2 linked regions of the Oryzias latipes genome follow. The protein of the gene in region 2 interacts with the protein of the main gene of each other region in a biochemical or structural test. Links are inferred from orthologs where the notes say so. Each region holds a gene or a part of one and is shown on either strand. Other genes may lie near its edges. The genes, in order: ppp1r8 and eed.

Region 1 (9,793 bases), on a different chromosome or scaffold from region 2:
TGAGCCAAAAAACTCACAAACCAAAGGAACGTTTCTTTGCTCTACAGAAGATTTGCAAGTGCATGGTGTTCGGCATTCATAAAGTTTTTATGAACGCTAAAATCAAATGTTCACCTCGTGTTTTTTGTGACTGGATTAGTTTTGCGTAGTCGTTTGCTACAGCCCTCCTTTCTGCCACTTCAACTTCAGAGTGTTTTCGGGGCACAATTGGTGGAGACTCGTCAGTTATGTCAGCCTGTAGGAAAAGAGGAAACGGTAAAGGAAAAAAAAAAAAAGGGAAAATAGTACCTGACCTTTTTCTGAAAGATTACCCAACAGTCACATTTGAAAAAGGTATGGTGTCAGACATAAGTGAGGTTTACTGTGTACTGTAACAGAGAAGCTTTTTGAACATGACTGCCACAGATCCATACTTACTGGAGGGGGTGGAGCTGGTGGTCTTCGCTTGTTAGTTAAAGTCAGATTACTCATCTCCTCGGTCGGGGTGGCCATCTCCTTTCGGTGTTTGGTTTTATTTGTTTTGCTTGTTTTCTTTGTGCTCTTTCCCTTTTTGCTTGTTTTTTCTGAAGACATGTTTCTCTTTGGCGGCCGAGGCGGGGGAACTTCGTTTGAGCTGACCTGCTTTCGAAACTCATAAAAAAAGGACTCGGTCACCTCAATGACCTTTTCTACGCAACATTTGGGAGGTTGACCTTCAGGCCACAGCAAAGGGTCCTTGGTGAAAACGACGTTCACGGAAAGCCACTGGATTGGGATCTCAAAACAATGTTCGGGCTTTTCGAGGAGGCTTGCCTGGATGACGGGCTCCGAAATAATTCCCTCTAACCGGAGACATGCAAACGCCGACAGTGGATCTGTCTCCAGTTCTGTATCACGACTCACCACCTTCACGTCCAGTGGAAAGCTACAGTTCTTAACCAATTCGCTGAGTTTGTACTTTTTATTATCAGGAAGTATTTCCACAAAGTGCCCTTGCATATAAAGAGGAAGAAAAACTTCATCTTTACTATCTTCCTTTTCAGCTGCCTCCACGTCGCTGTCTTCATCGTCCTCCTCGTCTTGCTCTTGCAAGCGTTGGCATAAAAGAGCCTCAACAGACTGCTTGTCTCCTTTGCTGTTCTCAGGAGATAACTCCATTCTCGTGCAACTTAGAATCTCCAGTTTCTCCCCAACACTGAGGGAAGGAAGGCCCTCCGCCACGTCCTCCTCACAGTTCTTTGTCACACTGACGTTCAGGCAGGGTGTCTGAGTTGAAGCCACGTACAGCTCATAGGCCGAGTTAAACTCTCTCGGTCTTTTCCGAAAGCGTCCAGTGTACTGCTGACACACGAGGAAGTACTGCTGCGTCTTTCGGCTCTTCGGGGTGGACACCATTGTGAAGGATTTTGTCGTTCTCTTGTGTAAAACCAAGCTGACCCCTTTGTTGAGCTCTGCTATCCATGTGCTTTTGAACATGTAGCCATTCTCTGGGCCATCTATGATCTCCACAACCGCGGGGAACATTTCGTCCGGCTGAGACATGACTTCTGTCAGACTGAGGGGCGCCACAAACTCTACATCCTGGCATGTGCTGGTGACATCCACCACATCTATCTCTAAACTGGATAGGAAATTCATCTCTTTTTTTCTCACTGTAGGGGAAAAATTGACAAATGTTAGTGAGAGACATGTGAAAAGAGGAAAGTCCATAAAGCTAAATAAAGATAATTGTTTCCCTCTTACGGCTTTCTAAAGAGTAAACATTAGTAAAATGATACTTAAAATGTTTCTGAGCAAAGATATTAAGATGTTTTACAAAGATCCATTTCTATAAATGTTGTTTTCGATTTGATCAATCCACATTCATAGTTTGACGAACTTCTCATTTACCACTCAGCTATGAAAATAAGGAACCAAAAAAATCCAATGTAATATGTAAAGAAGTTTTTCTTACTACTCATGATGGCCTGGATCTGATATATAGGAGAGAAGATTAAGGGTCGCTGACACTTGGCGGTGTTGCTGAAGCGAAACCTTCGACTGCGCAGTGATGGTGAAGACATGATCTCCTGGAGGCTGAAGTTTTCTTCGCTCTCGCACTCATAAAACTCCCCACGGAAAGACGTAGGAATGCACACTTCTGCAGAGGTCTCTTGTGAACCTTTGAGGTGGCATCGCACTTGGTCCTCTTGGCCCTTCTGCTGTTCGATTGAAAGCACAGTCAACACTTTCCCAGCCCCGAGGGTGAGATCCCCAAAGGTCATCTTAGAGCGGTTGGTGAAAGTGAAGGGAAGGCAGGTATCCAAGCTGACGGGCCTTAAACTCAACATCTCTTCGAGCGAACTGTAAGGCATCTCGTCTGGTACCACTTTGAACAGACCTAAAAACAGAAAAAAAATCAGCAAACTGCAGCAGACTAAACATTTTACTCAAGTGCATCTCAAACCAACCTTTGTGATTGATTGGCAACTCGAACTTTTCATCGTTGGAAACATCCTGACAAGAAACTGAGTGGAGCTCCAATCCAATGATCTTTATCAGATCACCGGTAGAGAAGCACACTTCACTACCAGAGAGTTCATACACAGAACCTGAACAGAGAAAGAAAGAAACATGATCCTTATAAAAGTTTAACATTTTTACTTAATGCAAATATGATCATCACATAAAATGCTTCATGAATGAGACCAGTGGAAGGAAGGAGGGAGGCACATACGCTAAAACAGGCTGAGAATGTTGAAATCCAGACGCAGTAGAACGTGTTTTAGTGCCCGCAGTTTCTGTGTTCCCTTAAACTTCTTTAAAATTTATACTGAAGTCTTTACTTTTCAAAGAACCAAAACCCCACAAGGCTTACCTTGAAAATACACTCCAGAGCACACTTGCAGAATCTTTGGCAAACTGGCCTTGTCCAAGGATGCAAAGTATTCTTGAAGCGGCAAAGCGATGGCACCTGCCATTGCTGTTTCTGTGCTGCTCTCAGAAATGAAAGCAGGAGGTAAATGACAAGCACAGCAAGAAAACAAAAAAAAAAGGAGATGCTCTCGCATCTAAAAACCACAAGAGTGAACAAGGAAGTTAAGGGAGTTATTTGCACAAGTTGTGCACACTGTGGTAAAGGCAGTGAGATATGACTCAGGTCTTGGCTCACAGACAATGTTACAGTTGTTGCAGCTTAATAAAATACACCACAAAGTGAATAAGAGTTTTTACAGATGTCATATATGCACATGAATGTGTGAGAGACAGAATCTGAGAAGAACAATTTCTCCTCTATCAATGGAACAAAACATAAAATGCATTCTTTCTGAATTAAAAATGTTCTAGAAGGACTAACTCTACTGCAATGCCTAAACCTTAGAACTCGTTTTATTTTATTTTACTGTATGCAAATGTACTTGGGTAAGGAAAACTGGATTTGGATGTGTGACACATTAACTAAACATGTGATCTTTACCCCTTTTGCAAATTATAGACGGAAAACATTTCATTTTTGGTTGAAGCCTTACATGTCTGAATCAAATGCAGTTAAAAGTTGTGTCTGCACCCCCTCTTTATGGATCCAGCTCACAGCGCTTTTCTGAAAATGTCTATCATCCTTTCTGAAAGTTCACTTCTGCTTCAGCTTTACACTTTATGCCATCTGTAAACAAAACTTTTACCATCTCCAGCTGACTAACAGAGGTCAACGCTGAACATATTTTTTTATTTAAAACATAGAACTCTAAATGGATCCAAGAGAGTCAGTTAATTTGAGGTAACCCCCCCCCCCCTTCCACCCACCTCAGGCCTGACCAAAAAAGCAAAAACCAGAAGGAGTTCACCCACTCACAAGCAGAAATAGATACAGACACAACTTCAAGCCCCCCAACACAGAATCCCACACATGTTGACCAATCATTTATTTCCAAGAAAATGTTTCCATTTTCAAATTAAGAGTTTAGAGACCTCTAGTGGTCTTTTGTAATTGAATTCTTCATGTTTATTAGGCAGCTTTACAAAGAAACATGCAAATCAAATAAAAAATTACTTGAATTATAACTGTTTTTGTTTGTTTGTTTTTCAAAATATAATATGATAATGTTTTTCATTAGTTAAGTATTTAAAAGTTACTCCCAAACCACTCATCATCTTGAAAAGAAACATTAAACATACAGTACAGACCAAACGTTTGGACAAACCTTCCCATTCATTTGAATGAGAAGGTGTGTCCAAACTTTTGGTCAGTACTGTAGTAAGAAGAACATCTTTCCTATGGGATAGATGGGGAGGCATGTGGTCGAGGGTTCTGCTGTGTAAACCATGAAGAGAAAAGAGAAAAGCTAACAAAAAAAGTCATTTTTGTCATCAAATATTTTTTATAACTTTTTCTGAGTCCCATTACAGGACTGTTGTGAAATTAAAATTAATGACATTATTATTAAAATTAATCTGTATATTTTTAATTAAAATATTACATTTTCTATGAATGGATTTAACACAAGTAAATCAAAATTGAACTTTTTTTGTTAATAAATCTTACAGTGCAATTAAGTTTTAAGTGAAGATCATTTGCCAAAAAAAAAAAAAAACTATTTCAAAAGTTTTACTAAAAAAGAATAATTCCCTGTATCCTGTACAAATCTGACGAATATTGCAATATGGTAAAATTATTATTAATATTATTACTCTTACTATCATTATTATCTCTGAACGACAACTCCCGACATCCCAATGTTTTGTTTACCCAGCATGCATTTTGGTTGCAATATGCTAAAGCAAGATGGCGACTAAAACAGGCAAAGACGGTCCTCCGCCTTTTGATTGTCCATCATGGTGAGAAAACTTACTTATTGCAGAACAAACTAGAAATTTGTAACGCGTTGCTGGATGTGCATTTGCAAAGCTATTTGACCTGTTCATTTGTGCCTTTTAATGCTAAGTAGAAGTCTGTAGTTGCAGTTGCTAACATTAGCTAGGTTAGCATGGTAACCCTTAGCGTTGTTGGCGTCAATTAACCAGAAGGGCTAGAAATTATTTATTCGAACGGGGAAAGCCGTGTTCTTTGTATGAGTAGAATTCACGTCCAGATCAATTAAAAATAATTATTATTATAAATGTGGAAAATATTTATCTTTAAAATATTTATTCTTGAAATAGCTAGCGCGGAGAGAAACATGTAAAAGACATTTGAATTCATTTATTGTAACATTAATTTGTGCATGATCCATGTTTGTTTGTTTTCCCTAAATATTGACAGTAGTTGATCGTCTGTTTACAGGGCAGGCAAACCCCCCACGGGGCTTCATCTTGACGTAATGAAGGGAGACAAACTGATAGAGGTAATAATTGAATGAAAATGTGCAGATGTTGGTCCTGTTATGCAGTAATATGACTGCTTATTCTGCTTTTGTGCCTTACTGTTGTTAAATCATGTATCGTGTAAGTCCATACATGCACCCATACACGAGCCTGACAGTCTGCTCTGTCCCTGATGTTTGAACATCAGGACAGGTCTGTGGCTGCATGGCTTCCAACGGTGCTACAGCAAAATCAGCCGTGAGGTTTAAGCTGATCAGTGGAAGCGACACTGATGAGTTATGACTCAGAGGTACACCTGTACTGTTGAAGCCATACTTTATGTGTGACTGACAGAAAAAACATTCTCTCTTTTCTATAGAAATTGATTATTGATGAGAAGAAGTTTTACCTTTTTGGGAGGAACCCCGACTGGTGTGACTTCACCATCGACCATCAGTCATGTTCCCGTGTTCATGCTGCCTTAGTCTACCACAAACACCTAAAAAGACTCTTCCTTATAGACCTCAACAGCAGTAAGGGATCGCTTTTAGTCCTACCTTTGTATTTGATTTATATTGTTGGAAGAAAGAAACGGTACACAAAGCAGAATGCAATACTGAAGCATTTTAATCATTTAGGAATTGAATACATTCTGCCATCACGTTTGATACATTTACGAATATTAAATCATATGAATAGAGTTAAAAGGATCACCACAGCTTCAACATCCATACACATTTTGTTTGTTTGTATTTCATGTGTTGTGATGAAATCACGGATCGTATCACTGAAAAATTTAGATTTGATCAACTTTCTGACTTTAAAGCAAATATCTTTCCCAATTGCTAAAAGAGTTGGAGTGTACGGTGGTGGTAAAAATTGCATCTTGTTTTGTTGTAGTATTGTTTCATTGTTATGACAGTGTTGCGTTACCTCTTTATTTTATTCTTTTGGGAAACCTTATTTGATTGTTACCCTTTCAGCACATGGTACTTTCCTTGGACACATCCGCCTCGAGGCCCACAAGCCTCAGCAGGTTCCTATAGACTCCACTTTAGCTTTTGGGGCTTCCACGCGAACGTATATCATCAGAGAGAAACCCCAAACCCAAGGCAGCACTAGCACAGGAGACAATAAGACGGGAGATGACGAGGAGCTCAAAGGACTTCTAGGTCTTCCAGAAGAAGAAACAGAGTTAGATGTACGTTATGTTTTCTGATCAATCTTGTTTTCATCTCTGTTTATTCCAGTCTTTTTGCCTGTTGATTCTTGAACTCTGGCTAAATTTGTCAAACTACTAAAGTTTAAGATTTGCTTGTTTGCTTTTATACAAATAGACCTGCATATTTTACTTTGACCATGTGTGCATGGTCAAAGTAAAAGTAAAAGTAAGTAGTGGCAAGGTTTAGTTTCAGAATACTACTATGTTTTTTCCCACTTATGAATCCTTTAATCCCGTCTACCGGTTGGTTGAAATGTTGTAGCCGCCTTACAAATGTTTGTGGTTTCTGAATCCTGTCAGAATCTGACAGAGTTCAACACAGCTCACAACAAGCGCATCTCGCTATTGACCATTGAAGAAGGCAACCTGGAAATCCAAAGACCTAAAAGGAAACGCAGAAACTCCAGAGTCACCTTCAGTGAAGAGGACTCCATCATTAACCCAGGTACTTACCAGTGTAAAAAATAAAAAACTTCATTTATGAACTTCTTGTTTTTAATCATAGCTGTTTTCACCTCTTGAGACAGGATGAATATTTTTTTGGTAGATTTCCTGTGGACTAGTTCTTTATATATATATATATAAGTTTATGTACTGGTAAATAGTTTTTTGTTTTTTTTGGGGGGGGTGTGTAGTTAATTTCCCTTTTTATTAAAGCACAGTCAAATAATTCTGTCAATGTTGCTTTCTAAAGATATACACCCAAATTTTAGTTTATGAAAAGGCTGAAAAATATTTGTAAAATACATTGATATTACTTTTGCAGTTGTGTCAAAGTGTGTCTATTCCATGTTATTCTCCAGTTATTAGGATTCTCATGAATGTAGATGTGTGAAAACATCTCTAAAAGGCTTTTTCTCCTTTTCAGAGGATATTGACCCCTCGGTCGGTCGCTTCAGGAACATGGTGCAAACAGCTGTCATCCCCATCAAGGTAAACTGTCGAAGGATTTTGGTGATTATTTGTATGAGAACTGGACCGAGCAAGAATGGTTTACTTCCAACAAAATGAAATTAATTAACGTTCAACATGAGACCATAATCTTATATTGAGGCGTCTGATTGGTCAGTTTATAACATGAATAACTTGCATTAAAGAAAAAAAATAAGATTAGCAAGAAGATGTTTTTGAAGGTAAAAAGAGCAAGAATAGTTATTTAATCGATGTGAACATATAGTGTTATAATTTAAATTCTGAACAGACTTTATGCCTTCTGTAAATCTGTAAAAGAAACAAAGTTGTACAGCTTCCAGCTTAACCCATCAGACTAATAGTTGACTTTTTTGTTGTAGAAACGCAGAGCGGAGGGCCAAAACACTCTGGGACTGGACGAGCTGACAGCAAAGCGCATGCATGGCTACAGCTTAGGTGGTGGTCTGTATGGGGACTTGCCTCCCACCAGTCATGAAAACCAGCCTACAGGAGCGCCCGGGGGTGCTGCCATGCAAGGAGGACTTCCTTTGCCCTTCCCAAACCCAGCGCCGGAGGTGGACCTGGCCCCAGAGGCTCCTCACCCCCCAATTTCTCTCAATCCCACGCCCGTCACAGCCCCGTATCTACCAGAGACCCTCAACGAGCCACGCAAAAAGAAGTACGCCAAAGAGGCTTGGCCAGGCAAAAAACCCACCCTTTCGCTACTTATCTGATGAGTTCTGGAAAGCTTCTTTCTGCCTCTCAGGTTACCAGAAGATGGGCCAGTCACTGTGACCTGGCAGAGATGGAGCCATTCACTTCTATTTACCCCCCATCAATTTATAGTGTTACTCATCGTCAAACAAAAGTGCAGCTTACATTTTTACCGTAGGTCTGCCTCACTAGAATCCACTCCTATTAATAAACAGTTTGGTTGTTTGTAACTTTTTTTGTCTGGAAATAAAATCCACCTAAGTTTAAAAAAAATCTTAGCAGTTAGTGCATCAGTTGAAGAGTGGCAGATAGTTGTCAGTGACGGGTGTGGAGTCACCGCAATGTCCATGGTAGTTCCGATCAGTGTGAACTTTTTTTTTATTTCTGTTTTGTTGGTTTTTCTGTTGCTATTCAAGCAAATGTGCTTTTATAGACCACACCAAACTGAGAGGTCAGGAGAGAATACATCTGTAAATGGATATTTTGGAAAAATGCAGGGCTATTCTCTTTATCTTTTTTTTTACTTGTACTGTTTTAAAATGTTTTTACATTTCATTTTTGTTTCCAATTATCCCGATTCTGTGTATTAGATCTTTTATGGACTAGGTGTTGTATTCTCCTGGTAAACCAGTAGGTGGCGACTCAAACAAAGGATTCAGATTGGTTTGAAGTTTGGCTGCAAGCTCTAAAGTGATCATTTGTCTGATCTATTGCACCTGAATCTAAGTAATCATCAAAGGAATATTGCAAAGAATTGTTTAATTCTTAAAAGTTTTGGCATTTCCTGGTCCAAACAATACACAACTCAACATATTGGACTTTTTCCTGGGATTTGAAATGGGTTATTCCATTTTCTTTTAGCTAATGACAGAATTGTGTAATCAATATTGGTTGGACTGAAAAATCCTTGGACATAATGGTTTGAAATCTGTTTTACTAACAATAAACCTGGTCATAAACTTTAACCTGTAACAGTTTACACGGCTTAACTAACCGAAGAAAGCCAACTGCGTCTGAGCACACAGGAAAAACTGCTGAAAGATCACAAGATTCTGGAATACCTTAAACTGACTTTGAAGAACTATGTGCATTCAAAGTTGTCTGGGCTTAAGGTGCATAACGTTTAATAATTTGAAACAGTATAATATTTCCCAAAAGGTGGTTTTTTTTTTATGTCTGCCAGTACAATCTATGAGCTTCGAGTCGACTCACTCAGACCTGATGCAGCAGTGATTTTGGAGATTTGGTGAAAGCTTCAGGTCAGTGTGAGTTCACATACGGGCAAACAGTTTTAAGAAAGATGCTCCATGTTATTGGATGAATAAGTAGTTGGCGTCCTGCGTCACAGCGTCCAACTCCTAACAGATATACAGATTTCAAGAGATTAAAAAAAAAAAAAAAAAGACATTTCTTGCGTCTTTAACTGTTGACTTTTTGTCAGTTAAGTGTCGATTTTGTAATGACTGTAAATAAAAAATACTTTTTAAGCACTTTTGCTTCTTTTGTGATTATGTTTGTTAATGCATCCTTAAACATGTTGGAGAGGGTTTTTCAGGATTAATTGGAACACTTTTAGACATTTAAAACTTATTTTTTTCTGTGTCAACATAGCCGTGGAAAGTGAACGCAGCCTCTGCAGCATGTTGCACTTCATTCATGTCTCAAAATACAATCTTGAGCACATTT
Region 2 (9,891 bases):
GTTTTTTTTTTTAAACAGTTTACCAGAGTAAGTTTTAAAGAAAACTAAAAGCACAAGGAACCAATTAAAGCTGATTTTAGATTTCCTATAGTTACATTTATTAGTAAATTGTTGTCCCTTAACTTTTCACTTAAAGGTTAAGGGTTTTTTTCTTTACCTGTGTTTATAAGAGTAAGCTTTAAAGAAAACTACAAGCAAAAGGAAACTAATTAAAACTGATTTCTTTATATTAGATTTCTATAAGTACATTTTAATGCAGTAAATAATTTTCCCCTTAACGTTTTACTTAAATGTTTTTGTTTTCTTTTGACCAGAGTGGCTCTTTGAGCTTTACGGAAAACTAAAAACAATTTCAAACAGCCTTTTTATGTTAAATTTCATGTAAATACGTTTTCATGTTGTACACAATTCCCCTTAACATTTCCCTTAAATGTTAAAGGGAATTGTTCTAATCAAATTTAAAGTAATTTAGAGTAAAAAAATGGATTTTTCTGTGGATGTTTCACCAAGACTTAAGATCCAATACAAAAAAGTTGGCAAAAAGTAAACTAAAATAAAGTGTTTTTAATTTGTCTGATTCCAGGTCCTGTCAGAAAACAATGACGTTCAGAAACCTCGATTTAGGCTCAGATTCTCTCAATAGTTTTGTTTTTCATTCAATCCTGGCAATGGATTTAATGAATCTGTGGGTTTTAAGGAAGCAGCAAACACAGAACCTCCACTTTTTTTTTGTATTTAATCTAAAACCGTGACTCACTTGGCCTTGTGCGGGTCTTCCACCTCCAGGTCCCAGACGTACAGCTTCCCCACCTGGTTCCCCAGAGCCAGCATCTGGACGGGCACACAAGAACGCCGTCATTCTATGCAGACGACGCTGAGCTAACCTTCGTGAAAAGTTCTTAGACTGACCTTCTGCCAGAAGTCCATGGAGAAGCGCATGTACCAAATGTCACACTGGCTGTAATCGAAGCGGCCCAGAATGGTCACGTTGGACTCGTTGGGCTTGATGTGGTCGATGTCGTCCTCCATCTTCCCCGGTTTCCAGCAGACAATAGCGTTTTCGCAGGACTGCAAGAAAAAAAAAAAGGTATTTTCAAACTATTTTTTGGACAATATTAGGTGAACAGAACCAGCAGTTTGGACCGTAACCTTGGACAGAATGAGGTCTCCCAACCACCGGACACAGTCCACGTAGTTCCTGTGGATGTCGCGGGTGGAGAAATCCGGGAAGTGGATCTTCTGGGAGACAAAAGGCCTGTGGGCGGGATTTGTTTTAGCTGGGACCAAAGCATCTCGGCGACGATGAAGAGGAGCGTCACCTGTTGGTCTTTGAAGGGTTGTACTCGTAGGAACCCCGGATGGCCTTCTGGAGCCTCTCCGAGTTGATTCTCCAGAGCTTTAGCGAGTGGTCCATCCCGCAGGACATGATCTTCTCACCCAGAAGGTCAAAATCCTGCAGAAAAGGGGGCACTTTTTCACTTCCAAAGCAGACTGATCTCCTTTTAATCCGATTAACGGTTCTGAAAGTTCTAAAATCATAATCCGGATCCAGACACAAAGGTCTACTAATCTCAGATAATTGCCTTTTTTTGGCGAGAAGCTACTTTCCCACGCTTTGGACTGTGAGCTCTTATCACGTTAAACCCGGTGACACGTCTAAGTCTTGGAAAAGTTCTATGGACCATTTTAAGACTGCGAGGGAGAACTCAGTAGAAGCTAATGTCATGCTAACTCCCGTAAGTTTTCATTCATTTTTTTAAGACGTAAAATAGGTGTTCCACAGGGCTCTATGCGCTGACCCCTGCTTATATGATTTGTTCGCTCTCTTTGCTTTGATTTTCACAGTTTTTAATGCTCAGTCACAGGGTGAGAGGTTTTCTAGTGCCAATAGGTGGTGGAACAGCAAGTCTGTTCATTTCTATGCAGATGATGCGAAACTAACATGATGTTAGAACCTAGAAATAAATATGAATACAGTTTTATCAATTGCGGGTCCTTAGGAATGACCCTTTATGCTAGTTTCTAATTTATGTAACAATGAGGAGTCTCCCTGTGCCGGTCCACAGCCTGGATAAAATCCAGGGTCGTGTCTGGAAGCCCGTCTGGAAATCTCTGCCAAAACTACCTGTGCAAAGAGGTGATTCGCTGTGGCGACCACTAAGAGGAGCCGCCAAAAGATGAGTTACAACCACCAGCTAATAACAAGCAAGTCTCAGAGACTCATAAGCTAACTCTCCATGCTTACTTCCATATGTTTTTAATGGTTAATGCAAGTTGGACTTTGTCTATCGTGGTGTACCACAGGGATCTAAGCTCTGCCCTTTTACTTTTTAGGATATGTATATTATCGATTGCTCTCGTTCATTTTATTTTTAGTTTTTAACGGTCATTTACTGCACGAGGTGGTGCCGTAACCAACAGTCAAAACAGGCGCAGGCGAGGCTTGCTAGCACAAATGGGAAGCACAGAAAAAAAATGTCATTTGTTTTTTTGCAGATGATACTCAGCTAAATATGTTTAAATCCATAAACAACATATAAAAAAGCGCTAATCACAACTCAGATTAGTCATGAGCTAATTCACCATGTTTAGTCCTATAAGTAGTGCTTAATGCCATTTGGAATGTATACATCATGGTGTACCACAGGGATCTAAGCTCTGCCTTTTACTTTTTAGGATTTGTATTTTGCTGCGATTGCTCTGGTTTCATTTTTACAGTTTTTAACGCTCCTTTACATGGGGTACTGCTGCATGAGGTAGCGCTGTAACAAACAGTCACACAAAGGGCGGGGCTTGCTAGTGCTAATAGGAGACAGAGCAAAAATTGCATTTATTTCTAAACAGATTATGTTTGACAAAACTATAACATAAATATCCCAGAACAGTTTTTATTTTCCCTTTGCTGCTTTCTTCTGGGAGTTTTTAAAACAGCAAAGCTTACGGCGCTCAGGACTTCATCTCGATGCCCCTCCACGCCTCCAAAGATCGCCACCAACGTGTCGGTCTGGATGTTCCACAGCCGGAGAGCGTGATCTGCAGAGATAGAGACCCGCCCGTTGGCATCAAGGACCCCAAGGATCCTTCATCAAAGACTCAGAAGGGGTTTGGTTCAATAAACTCCTGACGAACCGTCTTACCTTTACTGACAGACAGAAGGAGGTTGGGGTCCCTCGGGTGAAACTTGAGCTCGTTGATGGCGTTCCCGTGGCCCACGTAATGCTGTCAACCAACAGAACCTCTGAAATCCTCCATCCAAAACACCTGTTAAGCGGTCGTAACGGGCGGGTTTACCTTGATGCACTGCATTGTGATGTGGTTGATCACTCTGATGATGCCTCGGGAGCCGGCGACGGCCAAGAGGGGGTGGCTGGTGTTGGTGTCGTAGGTCCAAGCGCACGTGTAGAAGTTCTCGTCCGCCTCGGGAGCGCGTTAGTCAAGGAAAACCGATAGCAACGTTGCAATTCCAATGAAAGTTTCTGGAGCTGGGAGGTGCTTACAGTTTAGGATGGGATTGCAGAGTCTGTGTGGTCCGATTAGGGCGATACACCCCGACAACAGATAAAAAATGACTCAGCAATTTAGTTAATTAACTCAATAGTTTTATGAAACTTTAACATGGAAATATTATAAATTAGTTATTAATTATGTATTAGTTTTATTTAAAAACATGCCCATGGTATTTCATCCGGTTAATTCATGTAATTATCTGTTATTAATACTTTACTAACACGTAACAGTGGCTAACTTCGGTAACAGTAAGACCGCCACAACCTTTCTTGTAGTTTTATGTCAGTGGAGGACGCTTCCATGCCCTGTGGTCCATGAGTGCTATGACATCACAATGGACGACTTTAACTCATTAATGTTCTCTAATTTTAGTTGTGGTTCTTGTGTAGGTAACGAAAGACATTTGTCAGGAATAAAAAACGACACAACTACACAACCCAGAATGCGTAGAAAGGGCAGGAAGAAGGCGATTGGTCAAAGGTGTTGATGGGATGTTTTTCTAGTCAATTGTGTGGTTATCCATGTGCACTTTGTCTATTTAATGTGCACGTATCACTCCGTCAGGCTCCTGACTACACTACCCATAATGCCCAACAATCCTAGTTCCCCAAAGTGGAACTAAAGCATTGACCGACTACAGAAAATAGGCTCTAGATCAGTAAACACAGCAAGAATTCATATTTAGGATGAACCAGACACCAGGGGGCACTGTCGCGTTAAAAAACAAGAACATCAAGCGCATCTGCTGGTCCCAAAAGAAAGTGACAAAAGTTGCTTTTCTACAGATAAATATTCAATTTTAAGGTACGAGCTTCCGTAATTGAATTGGCTGGTCATCTTGCTGACATTGATGCTGCATGTGATCATCTTCCTCCATGCTTGTTTGCCACATTTGACATAAAATAGTCCCGCAAAGCTTCAAAGTGTGTCGTAAACGACAATGCTTCATATAAAAACAGCAACACGCACCCCGACCAGCTCCGGAGCCCACCAAGGACTAGTTTGTACCGCAGAAGGTGGAAGGATACGTCCGCATCAACGTAGGACTGTAGGAGTCGGATCTCTCCCTGAGAGTGACACTCGTACAGAGTCACCTGCACAAAAACAAACAAACAACTTTAGGGTCCCGAAAAACTGATCAAGCTTTGGCATAACATTCAAACAAAACTGTAATGATTATTTGCTATATTATATAAGACATCACTAGCTGCCTTTCCATTTACTATGAAATTGCACAAACTGGATTTGAGAAAGTACATTTTTTCATTGGACGATGATTTCGTCTTCAGAACAATCGTAAAACGTTCATCCTTATTTGTTTTTTACTTGAGGAAATAGGTGACGTCGTACTTAATAATTTTTTTTAATAAGTAGCTAGCAAGTGTTCGGATTTCGTTAAAATCCAAGGCACTGGACAGTCCTGCACTATATAATTTTTTGTTAATTGTTCGGACATGGACTCGGTTCAGTTCTAATATACGGTCAATTTTACGATCTTTGGATTCAAAATGCTAGCACAGATTTGCGTGATTAAAACAAACATTGGATCAACATGAGGGAGAAATTACCCTGTTACTCCCAACGGTGGCAAACACAAGTGGGTCTCCTTCCTTGCTGTGCCAGTTGAACTGGACGCCAAACAGCGGCTGTCCGTGATCCTCCTGAACCTCGGTCAGAGGAAAATCGCCATTTTATTGTCAGTTCGTTTTTTAAAGCGTTGCAAACGTCGGATTGGCCAGCAGGGGGTGGACTCACCTTCAGACTGTTGACACATTTAAAGGAGTACCGACACTTCTTTGACTTCCACTTGCCCTTGCCCCAGCTCTTCTTGCCCGGGGCGTTGGTTGTGTTGGTGGGCGTGTCCGGGCGCTCCGCGTTCGTCCCGCTTTCCACGCTAACGGCATCGTCCTGTACACGCAATGTCAGGGTTTTTTTTGTTCAGAAACATACAAGTCCTCAAACAAATCCATTCCATCATGCATTTCACTTTTCATAATAAAAGCACAATATTTGAAAATTTTCAAAATAAAAGCTGCAAAACGAAATTGAAAATTTTCCATCTTTCACAGTTTGTTTCAAAATTTCCGTTGCTCTTCTCAAATTTACAGGTAATTGTATTGATTTAAAGTTCTAAATACATGTAAATAGGACACAATATGCAACAAAAATACAAGCAATATAAAATAATTTTCGCTTTAGCCTTTTAGTTACGTTGAGGACTTCAAATCTAACTAAAAAATTAGGACAACGGTTTGTGTGAGCCTTATTTGAAGACGAAATCACTTAGGTTTACTTGAAGAAATCTTTTTTTTTTATAAAATGGCCGAAAAACACTAGGATGCTCGTGCTAAGGCAAGCTAGCTACAAAATTAATTTCAAAGTAAAGCATGTTCGTGTCCAAAGCTGAAATGTACGTAACCTTTTAGTTTTGTTTGTTGTTTTTGTGACCATGAAGCTGCTTTTTGTAATCAACGGAGTTTCACATCTACAGGTGTTTAACCAAAACGGACAAAGATGCTAGCTTTAGCTGCTAATTTAGCAGGAAGCTAACGTGAACGGCGCGATTAAACATTCGTCGTTTTTAAAAAAAAACCACACACACACAGTCCGGTACCGGCTGCTCACATTCTCGTCTCCCGATAAGTCGGGGTTGCTGTTTTCGTCACTGCTTAGTTTTTGCTTTTTCGCCGCCGGTGTTTCTTTCGCCGCTTGCGACGGGGACTCGGACATGCTCTTATTTTCCCTCATTTTTCGGCACAGGGTCCCGCCTCTTCCGGTGCGCTGCCGCAAGGGCTGCTGGGAATGGGGGTTTTTAATGGACCTTCCCGTCAATAAGCGGGAAACAAAGAAAAAGAAATGTAATTTTTCCTGTGATTTATCAATGTTATGGTTACATTTGTGTTCAAAAAAATGTTTTTTAAAATGACGTAATTTACACGACGTGAATGAGCTAAATAAAAGTTGGCTGGCATTTTGATGACAAAAACTTATAAATTTTGGAAAGAAAAAAAACACAATATTGAGCATTTGACAGAAATTTATTTACGCACTTATCACTTCTTTTCCTTGAAAGACCCACTCTGATAAAAATGTTGTTCTCAACATGTTTTTGTAGGATTTTTCTGATAATGTAGTAGTCAAAAAGGAAATTAAATATAGTTTAAAATAGCATTTGAGTATTTCTTTATTCAAATAGTGAATCGGGAGCTCACGAAAAACTGCCATTTGACAAAGTTTGTAGTAGTGACAGAAAATATAAAGACAGCAAAGCATGCAATTGCGCATAGCCTTCGCACATGTTCAATGATGAAAATGTTGGTTTATTAAAAACATACATTTAAACTGTTTTTCGCAAAAAAAATTAAATGCAATGTTTATATTTGCCAATCTAGTGAATATTGATCTACACTGGTTTTTCGCAGACTTCTGGCAGATTTCTAGGGCACTCGATTTGGGAATTGTACATCCGGACAGTACAAACGGCAGCGAACGCACTATGTAGTGCACTAAGTCGTGAATAGCGAAGGAATTTGTACACAGCCTTAAATTTCAATTCGGAACAAAGCACAGTGGACTTACCAGTCATTTGTGAGCCAAGTCTAATGACTTTGAGTCGATGTCACAGCTTTGTCAAAGGTATGAGGTGGCTAAAATCCCCTAAACAGAGGAAATGCGAAAACTTCAATGCAACGGATAGGTCGGATCGTGTAGTCACAGTCCAATGCCTGTAGCACAGAATAATAAACTGCATAAATAGATTTGCAGAAGGGCCTAAATAATGTCCTGTGACATAGAGAGCTCCACTAGCTCTGCTGGACCCTGGGCATCGGAGGTCACTACTCTGTCCGGTAGCGTAGCTGGCTTGATTGCTCCAGTCAAACCAGATATTTTTTTCCATCCACTGATAGAGTCACTGAAAACATCACGTACCCAAAGCTGGGTCCCTGATTGGTTAACGTGCCGCATAATGGCACTAACATGGAGATTTTAAAAGGCAGTGAGCTAGCCGCTCTCCCAGAAACTATGTCCTAGAAAACGACTAGCTAAAAACAGCAGACTTTTCACTAAAAAAACCATTAAGAACATGTTAAAATAGTTTAAAAAATGATCGGAGAAGCAAAACCAAACTTTTTAACACCACATATATACATTTATTTTTAAAAGAGGTACAAAACAAGATTCTATTATTATAAAATGTTGCTTCTAAGAGACTTTCAAGCGGCTAAAGCCTCATGTCATCGTCATCCAAAGAGGCTTGGCTCATCTCCTCTGACGGTCCTTCATCTTCCTCGTCCTCCTGTGCCGCTGGCCTCTTCATCCCTCTCTGTTTGGACAAGGCAGCAGCGTAGCGGATGCTGTACATGTTGAAGTCGCACCTGGAAGGAGAATCGACACTTAAAAAAAAAAGGGGGGCCATCATAGTTTTGAATGAGGCTGTGAAGCTGAAGAGAGACTTACAGTTTGGACAGATTGTCAAAGTGCCTCTGAATGCTCTTCTGCAGTGACTGCAGCGTGGCCAGAATGGAGCCCGACCTGCAAACCAAACAGAAAATGTATCTTGATAATTGAACTTTTCTACCGAGTTATATTTCTACATCGGTTAAGTTTAAATGATTCAGATCAAAGGTTTTAATCAATTCGTTTTTTATTTTTTTAAATCAAGCAACTTTGTTGTCCTGTAGCATCAGTGGTGTAGAACCCGTGTTCTTGACCATAACCCGTTGACGCTGGAGTTGTCGCCGGCGACACATACTTAACACGCAATTCAAGCTATGTACACACACCAGCCATGTGTGAAGAACGCGCTGACCTGTGGGTAACTGTTGGTACTACACATTAGTCACTACCAAATCTGAGTCCTGTAGAGCCCAAAAACAGACGCATGAACGCAACAGTTTTGAATTTGGAAGCCCAAAACGTGCATTTATATAGACTTTTTATTGGAAGCGGTTCCTGGAATGCGTGTTTTGAAGTCCGGTGTGAACGTCGCATTAGACCTCCCGCGACACACAGCCACTATATACATTTTGCGAATTTTCCAAGGATAAAATTTGAGTGTTTCGTGATATGCCGAATTCGTAATTTTTTCTTGCCTTTGTCATTTGTCGATGTGCTCAGATGTCCGTTGAGGGTTTTTGCTGACAGGTCTGTCCGTGAATTTGGTTTAAAGCTGTTCAGAATTTTTGGCCAGTTGAGAAATACGCAGTTATGGCGTATTTTACGTAGTTTACATGCAACTTTTATGTAAAACTTAGGCTATTGTGCGTGATTTTTGTGAGACGCATATGAAAATTCGTGGCTATCTACAACGGACTTTTTACGTGTGTACCACCGATGTATAGCTTTTATATCGCATTTATGGCGCATGTATGAACAAAAATTAGGTACTTGATGCACAAATCACTAATGAGTTGCATATAAACAGCACATTAATCATGCACGGTTCATGTTCTACACTGATGTGCTCTTAGCGTGGTTTATTCATACTTCTTTTGTAGTTTTAATGTGGTTCATTCGTGATACATCTGTGAAAATTTCACGGATAGACCAAAACTCACTTTTTCCACCTATAACGACTTTTCATCCATACAATATGCGCAAAACATACGTACGTCGTAGCTGTGTGACACGGCCTTCACTCTTCAACCATTTCCGCAATCAACGTAAATCGGCTAACTAAGAGAAAAGCTGCTTTTCTTTTTGTAATAAAACCGTAAAAAAAACGTTGAAGAGTTACAACAGATGAAAGAATGTGATGCTAAAGCTTCGCCGTTAAAAGAACATTGAAGGATCTTTGTTTCGCTTGTGGGTCCCACAGACGTTCAGATATGATGGCGTAAGGATTACAGACCATGACCTTGTCAACTAGCAATCGTAAGGTTGCTAATGTGACCTTCGTCTATACTGCGTCACAACCATACTGCTCTACAGTCCTTAGCACACCTCTGAACCAGAGCTAACTAGCTAGCCGCACTGAAGTGTTCTGTGACTAGGCCCAAAGTTACCTACCGATTCTTCAGTTTCTGTCCGTGCAGCATGAGTAGGTTTTGGGCCCAGGTCATGTAAAACTGCAAATGGCTGGACTTTTCCAAACATGTGGCCAAAAATCCCAGCAGCTTTTCCACGTAGATGTCCGGCAGGGATCTGCAAACCAACGGGACTGCGGGGACACAACAGCAGACAAGCTACACGATGGCCACTTCCAAAGTTCTCGTAAAACCCAACGGAGGAATCACCCACTCTGTTCGTGAGGTACAGTCTCCAGCGCCTCCTGCTTCAGGGCGCTTTCGTTCAGCCGGAACGCCAGGACGATGGCCGATGTCCACTCCTGCAGGCGCAGCTGCTTGCGAATGCTGGCCGGCGTCACGTCCAGGTCGAGGTCAT

What was found.
Region 1: the proteins of eed (region 2) and ppp1r8 form a complex in vitro, tested with the Homo sapiens proteins (2 studies listed by BioGRID). The link is inferred for Oryzias latipes from reciprocal best matches to the Homo sapiens genes EED and PPP1R8.

The regions. Positions count from the first base shown.
Region 1 is NC_019874.2:22,800,349-22,810,141, reverse strand, and holds ppp1r8 (nuclear inhibitor of protein phosphatase 1), read left to right. Parts: upstream 1-4,694; 5' UTR 4,695-4,741; coding exon 4,742-4,794; intron 4,795-5,239; coding exon 5,240-5,300; intron 5,301-5,412; exon of another isoform or gene 5,413-5,551; coding exon of another isoform or gene 5,552-5,569; exon of another isoform or gene 5,570-5,577; intron 5,578-5,638; coding exon 5,639-5,792; intron 5,793-6,242; coding exon 6,243-6,460; intron 6,461-6,781; coding exon 6,782-6,926; intron 6,927-7,349; coding exon 7,350-7,414; intron 7,415-7,773; coding exon 7,774-8,127; 3' UTR 8,128-9,516; downstream 9,517-9,793. Other genes in the region: protein THEMIS2, read right to left, coding at 115-235, 418-1,631, 1,934-2,359, 2,430-2,570, 2,837-3,029. UniProt on the Homo sapiens protein: Inhibitor subunit of the major nuclear protein phosphatase-1 (PP-1). It has RNA-binding activity but does not cleave RNA and may target PP-1 to RNA-associated substrates. May also be involved in pre-mRNA splicing.
Region 2 is NC_019860.2:2,256,583-2,266,473, forward strand, and holds the start of eed (polycomb protein EED), read right to left. Parts: upstream 6,283-9,891; 5' UTR 6,256-6,282; coding exon 6,133-6,255; intron 5,416-6,132; coding exon 5,263-5,415; intron 5,175-5,262; coding exon of another isoform or gene 5,169-5,174; coding exon 5,076-5,168; intron 4,602-5,075; coding exon 4,536-4,601; intron 3,418-4,535; coding exon 3,292-3,417; intron 3,220-3,291; coding exon 3,138-3,219; intron 3,034-3,137; coding exon 2,942-3,033; intron 1,454-2,941; coding exon 1,320-1,453; intron 1,256-1,319; coding exon 1,150-1,255; intron 1,069-1,149; coding exon 910-1,068; intron 832-909; coding exon 758-831; intron 1-757. Other genes in the region: periodic tryptophan protein 2 homolog, read right to left, coding at 7,730-7,883, 7,966-8,040, 9,517-9,667, 9,748-9,891. UniProt on the Homo sapiens protein: Polycomb group (PcG) protein. Component of the PRC2/EED-EZH2 complex, which methylates 'Lys-9' and 'Lys-27' of histone H3, leading to transcriptional repression of the affected target gene.